2 linked regions of the Diceros bicornis minor genome follow. The protein of the gene in region 2 binds, or shares a complex with, the protein of the main gene of each other region. Links are inferred from orthologs where the notes say so. Each region holds a gene or a part of one and is shown on either strand. Other genes may lie near its edges.

What was found.
Region 1: the proteins of TNKS2 (region 2) and SH3BP2 are in contact, whole or in part, in a crystal structure (PDB 3TWR), measured with the Homo sapiens proteins. The link is inferred for Diceros bicornis minor from reciprocal best matches to the Homo sapiens genes TNKS2 and SH3BP2. Residues at the interface, in NP_079511.1 of Homo sapiens: Arg525, Ser527, His531, Phe532, Gly535, Tyr536, Asn537, Arg538, Leu560, Asn565, Ser568, Tyr569, His571, Asp589, Trp591, Phe593, Glu598, Lys604; in NP_001116153.1 of Homo sapiens: Leu413, Gln414, Arg415, Ser416, Pro417, Pro418, Asp419, Gly420, Gln421, Ser422, Arg424.

The regions. Positions count from the first base shown.
Region 1 is NC_080747.1:2,129,720-2,133,622, forward strand, and holds the start of SH3BP2 (SH3 domain-binding protein 2), read left to right. Parts: upstream 1-1,229; coding exon 1,230-1,393; intron 1,394-1,691; exon of another isoform or gene 1,692-1,776; coding exon of another isoform or gene 1,777-1,808; exon of another isoform or gene 1,809-2,979; intron 2,980-3,197; coding exon 3,198-3,337; intron 3,338-3,903. UniProt on the Homo sapiens protein: Binds differentially to the SH3 domains of certain proteins of signal transduction pathways. Binds to phosphatidylinositols; linking the hemopoietic tyrosine kinase fes to the cytoplasmic membrane in a phosphorylation dependent mechanism.
Region 2 is NC_080745.1:57,705,064-57,708,966, reverse strand, and holds the start of TNKS2 (poly [ADP-ribose] polymerase tankyrase-2), read right to left. Parts: upstream 3,156-3,903; 5' UTR 2,891-3,155; coding exon 2,692-2,890; intron 1-2,691. UniProt on the Homo sapiens protein: Poly-ADP-ribosyltransferase involved in various processes such as Wnt signaling pathway, telomere length and vesicle trafficking.

The sequences.
Region 1 (3,903 bases), on a different chromosome or scaffold from region 2:
CAGGTGCACAGGGGTGGAGGGCAGCAGGAGAGCCTGTGGGAAAGGTCCATGGGGGCTGTATCTGGAAGGGCCAGGTGGGCATGCGGAGGCCCTGGAGATTCAGAACAGAGCCGTGATGAGAATGGCATGTGTGTTGGAGAGTGTGCCGAGTGGAGGGTGATGGAGGGAAGAGACTGGAGGTGGGGGAGGGAATTGAGGAAAGGAAGTGGTGGGGGGGCTGCCCAGAAGTGGCCAGGTAGGATGGCTGGGGGAGGAGAGGGAGGTGGCCTGGGGGATGGGTACACTGCCAGGGGAGGGATTGGCAAGGATGCTGGGCACAGAAGCAGGCAGGAGCCTCTATGCGGGGAGGCTGCAGTGACAGGCGAAGGCTGGTTGCAGTGGGAAGGGGCCAGAGAGGCTGCCTGAGGTGGAGGCTGGGAAACCAGGGAGGGGCGCCCAGTATGGACAGCCAGGTGGGAGCAGGGCCCAAGCTGTTAGAGCTACCCTCTGCTGTAGGTGGCCCATCTCAGTGGCAGCCTGTATGCAAGTGGGAGGTGGAGGAGGCAGAATGTTTGAGAGGCCAGCAAGGGCCTTCACCAGCCGTTGGCCAGCCTGGGGGTCTCCTAGGAGAGAAACTCACATATGTCCAAGAAGGGCTGCCAAAGACCAGACCCCTGACCCCTGAAGGGAATCGAGGGGTGGAGGCCCATCGAGTCAGATAGGGCAAGCAGCCTGCCCAGTAGGGGGCTCGAGGAACCGCAGACCTGTCCGTGAGCCTGAGTGCATGCCAGCGTGGTGGGGGCTCTCGGCCAGCCGGACCTGCTTCAGAACAAACCCCGCACAGCCCTGGAAGGCAGGGCGGCCATCACCCCCAGTTACAGAGGCGCAGACTGAGGCTCAGGGAGGAGAAGCCACTTTCTCAAGGGCGCTCGCCATCCAGGAGCCGGCTGGGATTGGGACCTGGGTCTGGGGCCTTCCAGCCGCGCGGGGACACTCGCAGCGTTGGGGCTGTGAAGCGGGATGCCTCGCTTGCATCGGTGGCTTCTTGATTCTCGGCTGCACTTGAGACGTCCGCTTCGCGCCCCCCATCCTCAGAGCAGCAGACGGGGAAACTGAGGCTCTGCGGGGCGGCGGACGCGGGGTGACGGGCGGAGGCGCGGGGCCGGCGGAGCTCCCCACCTGCCCGCCCCCGCGCCCGCCCGCGAGGGGAGGAGCCGGCGCCGCCTGGGCCCGGGCCGGGGGCGCGCGGCATGGCGGGCGCGGGGCTGCGGCCGCGGAGCCGGGGCCGGCGGGAGGCGGGCGCCGGGGACGAGGCGGCGGCCGGGGGGCCCGGCCCGGGGCCGTGTCGGTGCGCGCAGGAGAGGCGGGCGGGGGCCGCCCCCCGGAAGCCGGCCCTGCCCGCCGCGTGGACGCCGTGAGTACTGAGCGCGGACCCGACCTGAGCCCCCGGACCCCGAGCCCGCGCTTCCTGCGAGAACAAAAGCGGGCGTGGGCCGGCGGCCGGGCGGGTCTGGGGGCCCCAGGCGGGACGCGGGCCGTGCCTCTGCCAGCACCTCCCCCTGGGTGGGCGTGAGCGCCGGTACCCTTCTCCCCGCCGCGGGGCTCCGTCCGGGCGGCAGGCGCGGGGGGCGGGGGTAGGGGTGGCCGCGCCTTTGTTCCGAGCCTCCGCTGTTGGTGGGGGCCCAGGCCCGAGGGGTCGGCTTTGTGTGCAGATGGAGCCGGAGCGGGCAGCCCGGTGACCTAGGCAGAGGCGGTGGCAAAGGGGCAGCCCAGGCCCCTAGAGACGGTGAGCATTTGATGGAGGATGCTGGTTCGCTAAGAGCAAAGAGGTTCTCTTTGTGTGTGTGTTTTGGGGATGGGGCCTGTAGTGGCAGGAGTCCCAGCAGGACTGGGTCTCTGGGTCTGACCCTAACTGCTCCACCACCGGCTTAAGGGTGACGCTGACCACACCCCTTCTCCTCCAACTCCACTGGGACCCCAGGAGGAACCAGGACCGGGGTGGGGTGGGGGCAGGCACAGACAAAACAGTGCAAGGTTGGGTGCTGTTCGGAGGGACCAGGGGTGGAGGAGACCCGGAATGTGACTGGGCATTGAGGTGCCTCACGGAAGAGAACACTGAATTTGGGTCTTGAAGGACGAGTAGGAGTTCTCCATGTGAAGAGAGGTAATGATCATTCCAGGCAGAGGCCAGAAGTGTGAAACAGCCTGGCAGGTTTCAGGGAGAGCAGCTGGAGCATGAGTAAGAGGGTGGGGGAGGGGCAGGGCCTGACCCCCCAGGGCCTGACGTGTTGGGTCCTGTGGGGCTGGGTTAGCCCTAAGACAGTCAGCCTGTCCCTGGTGACCAAGTACTATGTGGTCCCTGAGGAGTGTTGCATCAGCCAACCCACCAAATGGTCCTCATGGCCATTGCTGACTAGGGTGTGCTGCATGCCAGGCCGCATCTGCTCTGTCCTCCCATTTTACAGCTGCAGCAACTGAGGCCCAGGGATCCCCCAGAAAGCCAAGCCAGGACCAGAATCTAGGTTGTCTGACCTGGGAACTGGAGGCTCTTGGCCAGCTGCTGTCCTGCTTCCTGGTCTCAGAGCCTTAAGAAAGGGATAGACAGAAGCCAGCTAAGGGTGGGCAGGAGTGGATTGTGGGGCATTTAGGGGCCGTGCCCCTCACTCTCTCCCTGCTGAGAGTCAGAGCTGGTGGAGAGGGTGCCCAGGGCCTGCCCTAGACCCTGTACCTCTTTAACTCCTTCCTTCAGTTTGTGACCCCAGTCACCTTCTCCTGAAAGCCCTCCCTGACTTCCTGTCTAGGGCAGGCCCCATTATAGGCTCACTTGGCCCTCGGACTTGGGGACCTCATGGCCTAAGGCCTGACTTACCTGGGCCAGGGGTTTCCTGAGTCCATTCGCCGCTGTACCCCAGCCCCCATGGGGCCTTGAGCTCAGTAGGTGTGTACAGAGTGAACCAGTGTCGATGGAGGAACACAGCTCACAGGATCCCTGGGGTTCAGGTGTGTGGCTGAATGGACCAGGGGGTGTCCGAGTGGACCAGGTCTCTCCCTAGGGTCCCACCTGGAAGCCTGGGCCTTCAGAAAAGGGGTTCTTACCTCTTACTGCTTTGAACCTTCGTGCTCTCTCCAGGATCTTGGCAGTGTCCCCCCTGCATGTCCCCAGCTAAGCTATCTTTTGTCCCCCACACCTGGCTGAGATATGTCCCCTTTTATTGCAGCTTCATGGCGGCCGAGGAGATGCACTGGCCTGTCCCTATGAAGGCAATTGGCGCCCAGAACTTGCTAACCATGCCAGGGGGTGTGGCCAAGGCTGGCTACCTGCACAAGAAGGGCGGCACTCAGCTGCAGCTGCTCAAATGTGAGTCCCCTGGGCGGTGGGGAGCACCATGGGAGGACGTGGGGACAGGGCTGGGCCCCAGCCTTGCTGACCCGCTGGGCCTCCTTGGGCAAGCACCCAGCCTCTCTGAGCCTCTGCTTTCTTACACGGAAGGCCCTCCGGAGTTTCCCTTCCCTCCCTCATGGCCAGTACGGCTGGAGGACCTGAGGTCGGCTTCCCCAGCCCCATGACTGTGGGAGGGTCCGGGGTGGTACAGCTGGGCAGAGATCAGACTGGCATTTGGTGCACTGTGCTGATCAGCTGGCCAGAGGAGCTTCAGCCTGCAGCAAGGGTCTAGGGGCCCTTGGTGGCCTTGTAGGTCTGGCCTCTGGGTGGTGCCCTTGCCTTATCTGGCGGGTGTTCAGTGAGCCCACGTGCCAGCCAAGACCTGGCTCTGCACTGGACCTCCAGAGCTGCATGAGACTGGGGCTCTGGTTCCTAGGACAGCAGGCTGGGAAAGGGAGGGAGCCCCCAGACCTGGGAGATGCCCAGTTGTCAAGACTCTGAAGGCCAAAGAGCATCAGGGCCTTGCCCATCCCTCTGACCAG
Region 2 (3,903 bases):
TGCTGAGGAAGACTGGCTCTGAGCTAACATCTATCACCAATCCTCCTCCTTTTTGTTTTTCCCCAAAGCCCCACTAGATAGTTGTATGTCATAGTTGCACATGCTTCTAGTTGTTGTATGTGGGACACGGCCTCAGCATGGCCAGAGAAGCGGTGTGTTGGTGCCCGCCCGGGGTCCGAGTCCGGACTGCCAGTAGTGGAGCAAGAGCACTTACTTAACTGCTAAGCCACGGGGCCGGCCCAGAAATGATTTCTTAAAGCACACTTATCTAGAAGAAATGTAATCCAGTTCACTAATAAAAAGCACCTATTAGAAGAAAAGTTCCTATTTATGTTGATTATTTTTTTCATTAACAAAAGAACTTAACTCCTCTGGGGCTGGCAACTGATTATTCTCTTAACTGAACTAAATATTTTAGATGAAAAGACTAAACTGTTCTTCTATCATTGATTCATATTCCTTCCTCTGCACAAATCTTATTCCTGTTCCCTGGAAATCAAAAAAAAAAAAAAAGACAAAAACGTGCCTCCCCTCCCCCAATAAAACCTCCAAACTTTAACTGGCTAAGAAAAAGATTTTTTTCCCCCTATGGCTTACTCTATAATGTACAAACACAAAAAACTGCTTGGTCAGGCAGTTACATAGTCCCACTACCTATGTTGAGCTTCCCATGGCATGCTTACATGCACATTAATACAATTGATAACTCACTACCTACAAAAGAGATCACAAAAGGTATTCCCTATATACAGAGAAAATGTAGCTGGATGCATTTATTTAAAAATTCAGTTCTCTCTCATTAATCTAATTAATAATTTAGATTGGATTTACAAAGCTAATTTTTAAAAAAGTTTCTTATATGCCTGGGTTAAATGCAGGGCTTTAAAGCTCTGGTTTAATGTAGACCATTAGAATTTTCATTTTATTACTCTTTTCTTATACCTTAAATTCTTAATCTGATAACCTGTACCTGATAATTTGGGTAAATTGTGAGGGGTGGGTTGGATCCTAAAATTAGGTTTTCCATTTCAGTCTGAACAAACCACATGAAATCTATGTAAAAAGTACTCTGAAATGTTGGGACAGAAGGGAGGATGGGACGGTGGGGGAGGAATAATGTCAATAAGAAGCTAATGCCATAAGGTTAAACCCCTAAATATTACTATTTTCAGATATGAACTCACTAATACACCGAATTCTTGAAAGGTAGCAACTAAGATCTTCCTTGGTTATTTTTACCCCACAGATCAAGTGAACAGAATCTAAGTAACACTACCCTTTGGACTGCATATCAGTTGGTTATGACAGTTTGCCAAATCAGTTGTTTAAGGGTGACCACATGGTCAAACAGGACAACCCAAATTAGCTGAGCAAAGGCAGCACTGATCACAAAAATTTTAGGCTAAATGGCTAAAGAAATGAGATTTGACTTTAGTATTCCTCTCCTTTCCCTTTCTGCTGCCACAGACTGTTTCTAGCTCTCCTGCCAACGGTCCTCCAAACCTTCTCCCTTAAAAAGGCTCCTCAACGGGAACTCAACAAAGTTCTAATTGATCAAGAAAGCATACCTCCTACTAGTATTTATATTTTAAAACAGGGATAGGTTAAAGCAAACAAATCTCCAATTGGTAGAAAGTGTACAAGCAATGTCTGTGAATAAGGAAATCTTTCTTAACGCTCCTCTGCTCATCCCTATTCGAAAAGAACAGAGAGCTTTAAAACCTATCCTTCTGCTTTTTCAAAAAATTATTTTAAACAATTATGTAACGCACAAAATAAAAAATCAGGATTATCAGAACCATGAGACTCTACTCCCATTTTCAATCATGCATGGCCCACTTGAGGATAGAGACAGTTGCATCTTTCTTCAAAGTGAAAAGTATAAATGCTTTATAGAAATAAGCTGAGTGTCTCTCATCTCTAGCTCTTTTAAATTCTTTAAGTGAATGTAATATGCTTATATCATAAAGTGAACCTAGTAAATATTAAAAGAAAGTAATTCAAACGATCTAAATCCCAGAACGAGGCGAGGTTAGTCCCAGTTTAAATTCTAGATCCAAGCTCAAGTACCTACACCATCTTTCCTCTCATCCCACTACTTTCCACCTCAACTTGTGTGTGTGGCGGAGGCTACCCGGCCGCTCCTAGCCTAAGTCAGATCTCAATTCTCCCAAACTCGACTATTTCCAGTTCTAGTCTCCCCAGAAACTTGCTAATAACTACCCTGATAAACCCATTAACGCTAATGTGTCAATGGCCAATTAAGCTACTCCTCCTAAATTACATCCTTGCATTTTACAAGGGCCTTGAAGACTTTAACCCAAAGGACTGATAACAGTTATAGTGGAATTTGCAAGAAGATAGATTTTGGAGATAACTGGCCTTTCGAATCGCAAGGTCTACTACGTCCCCTACTCTTTCTTGTGCGTGGAGGCCTCTTAGAGTAGCAAGACCGGAAGTTGGTACAGGTATTGTTGATACAAAACAAAGCAAAAAAAAAAAACTTCCAGTGAGTGCGGCACGCTGGCCCCCTAGCCCAACGTCTTCAGTCCTCACTCGACGAGGGGGAGAGGACCACGACCGCAGTCCTGGGGGAGCGCCGGGGGCAGAGCAGCACTGTGTCTGGTTGCGGGCCTGCGAGCGCGGGTGCGCAGGTGGGGTCTGGGGCGAGGCGGCGCTGGCCCGGGTTACCTGCGGCGAAGTGGAGCGGGGTGGACTTCCTGCCCGCCGTGTCGCGGCTGTTCACCTTCTCGGGCGTCACCAGCCTCTTGACTCGCTCCACGTCCCCGTTGCGGCAAGCCTCGAACAGCTCGCGGGCGGCCGGCTCCACGGCCTCGGCCGCCGCGCCCGTGCAGGCCGCGCCCCCGCCGGCGCAGCGGCGGCCCGACATGATCCTGGCCGCCGCCGCCGCCAGCAGCAGCGCCAGCAACGGCAGCAGGAGCCCCGGGCCCGCGAGCAGGAGGGCGAGGCCCCCCGCAGGAGACGCGCTCAGGGCCCGGGCCGCTCGGCTCCCTCCTGTCACCGGGCTCGGCGCAGTCCCATGGCCGCGCCGCCGCGCGCTCCTCGCTCGGCCCTGCGACCCCCGGCTGCTCCGCGGCAGCGTAAGCACCGCGAACCCGCCGTTCGAGCCCCCAAGCGACGCGGCGGCGGAAGCTGGCAAGGCCCCTCCTGCCAGCGCCGCGGAGCCCTGGGAGCGCACGTGACGTCGTGCCGCGCGTGCGCAGTGGTCGGAGGCCGGCCCGGCAGGTTTCAGCGAACCGGGCCGCGCGGAGGGGTTTGTGGGAAAAGTGAGGCGAAAGGCTTTGGCGGCTGGCGGAGTAGGGGCTTCGTCCCAGCGCCATGTTTGCGGTGGGTTTTGGTGAAGTCCAACGAGTCTGCTTATTGTCCTTTTTTAAGGCACGGATTTCCCGAGCTGAATTCCCTTATTGTTATTACACTGAAAAGTGCCCTTGAAAGTTTTCCCTCGATCTTACATATTGTTTTGAAATTCTTTAGTGTGGAAATTTTCTATTTTTTCACCTTCCACAATCCCTTTCTCCTGGGGCATTTCTTTTCTGGTTTCTTTACTCTCTCTTCCCCCGCAACTCTTATTTTGTTGTTTCTTGTAAGGCGTTTCTCGGAAATGAAGGAGTCTGTCTCCACTTGATGGGAAGTTTTGATGAGCTGCCCCAAGATCATTGAAAGGAAATTAGGCAAGCGATGAAAGTTTGTTCCAATTCTAAATTAACGATAATCAGCTGTCATCTGATTAATTCTCTTTCCATAGTTAAGTTTATTAGCTCAGGACTAACGAAAGGGCCCATACGTAAATCGTTATACTGACTTGGCTGAGGTGTGGATACACTGGGTTTACGCATCGCAGAAAAAACTTAATGTGTTGCAATTTTTGTGTTTTTTTTTACC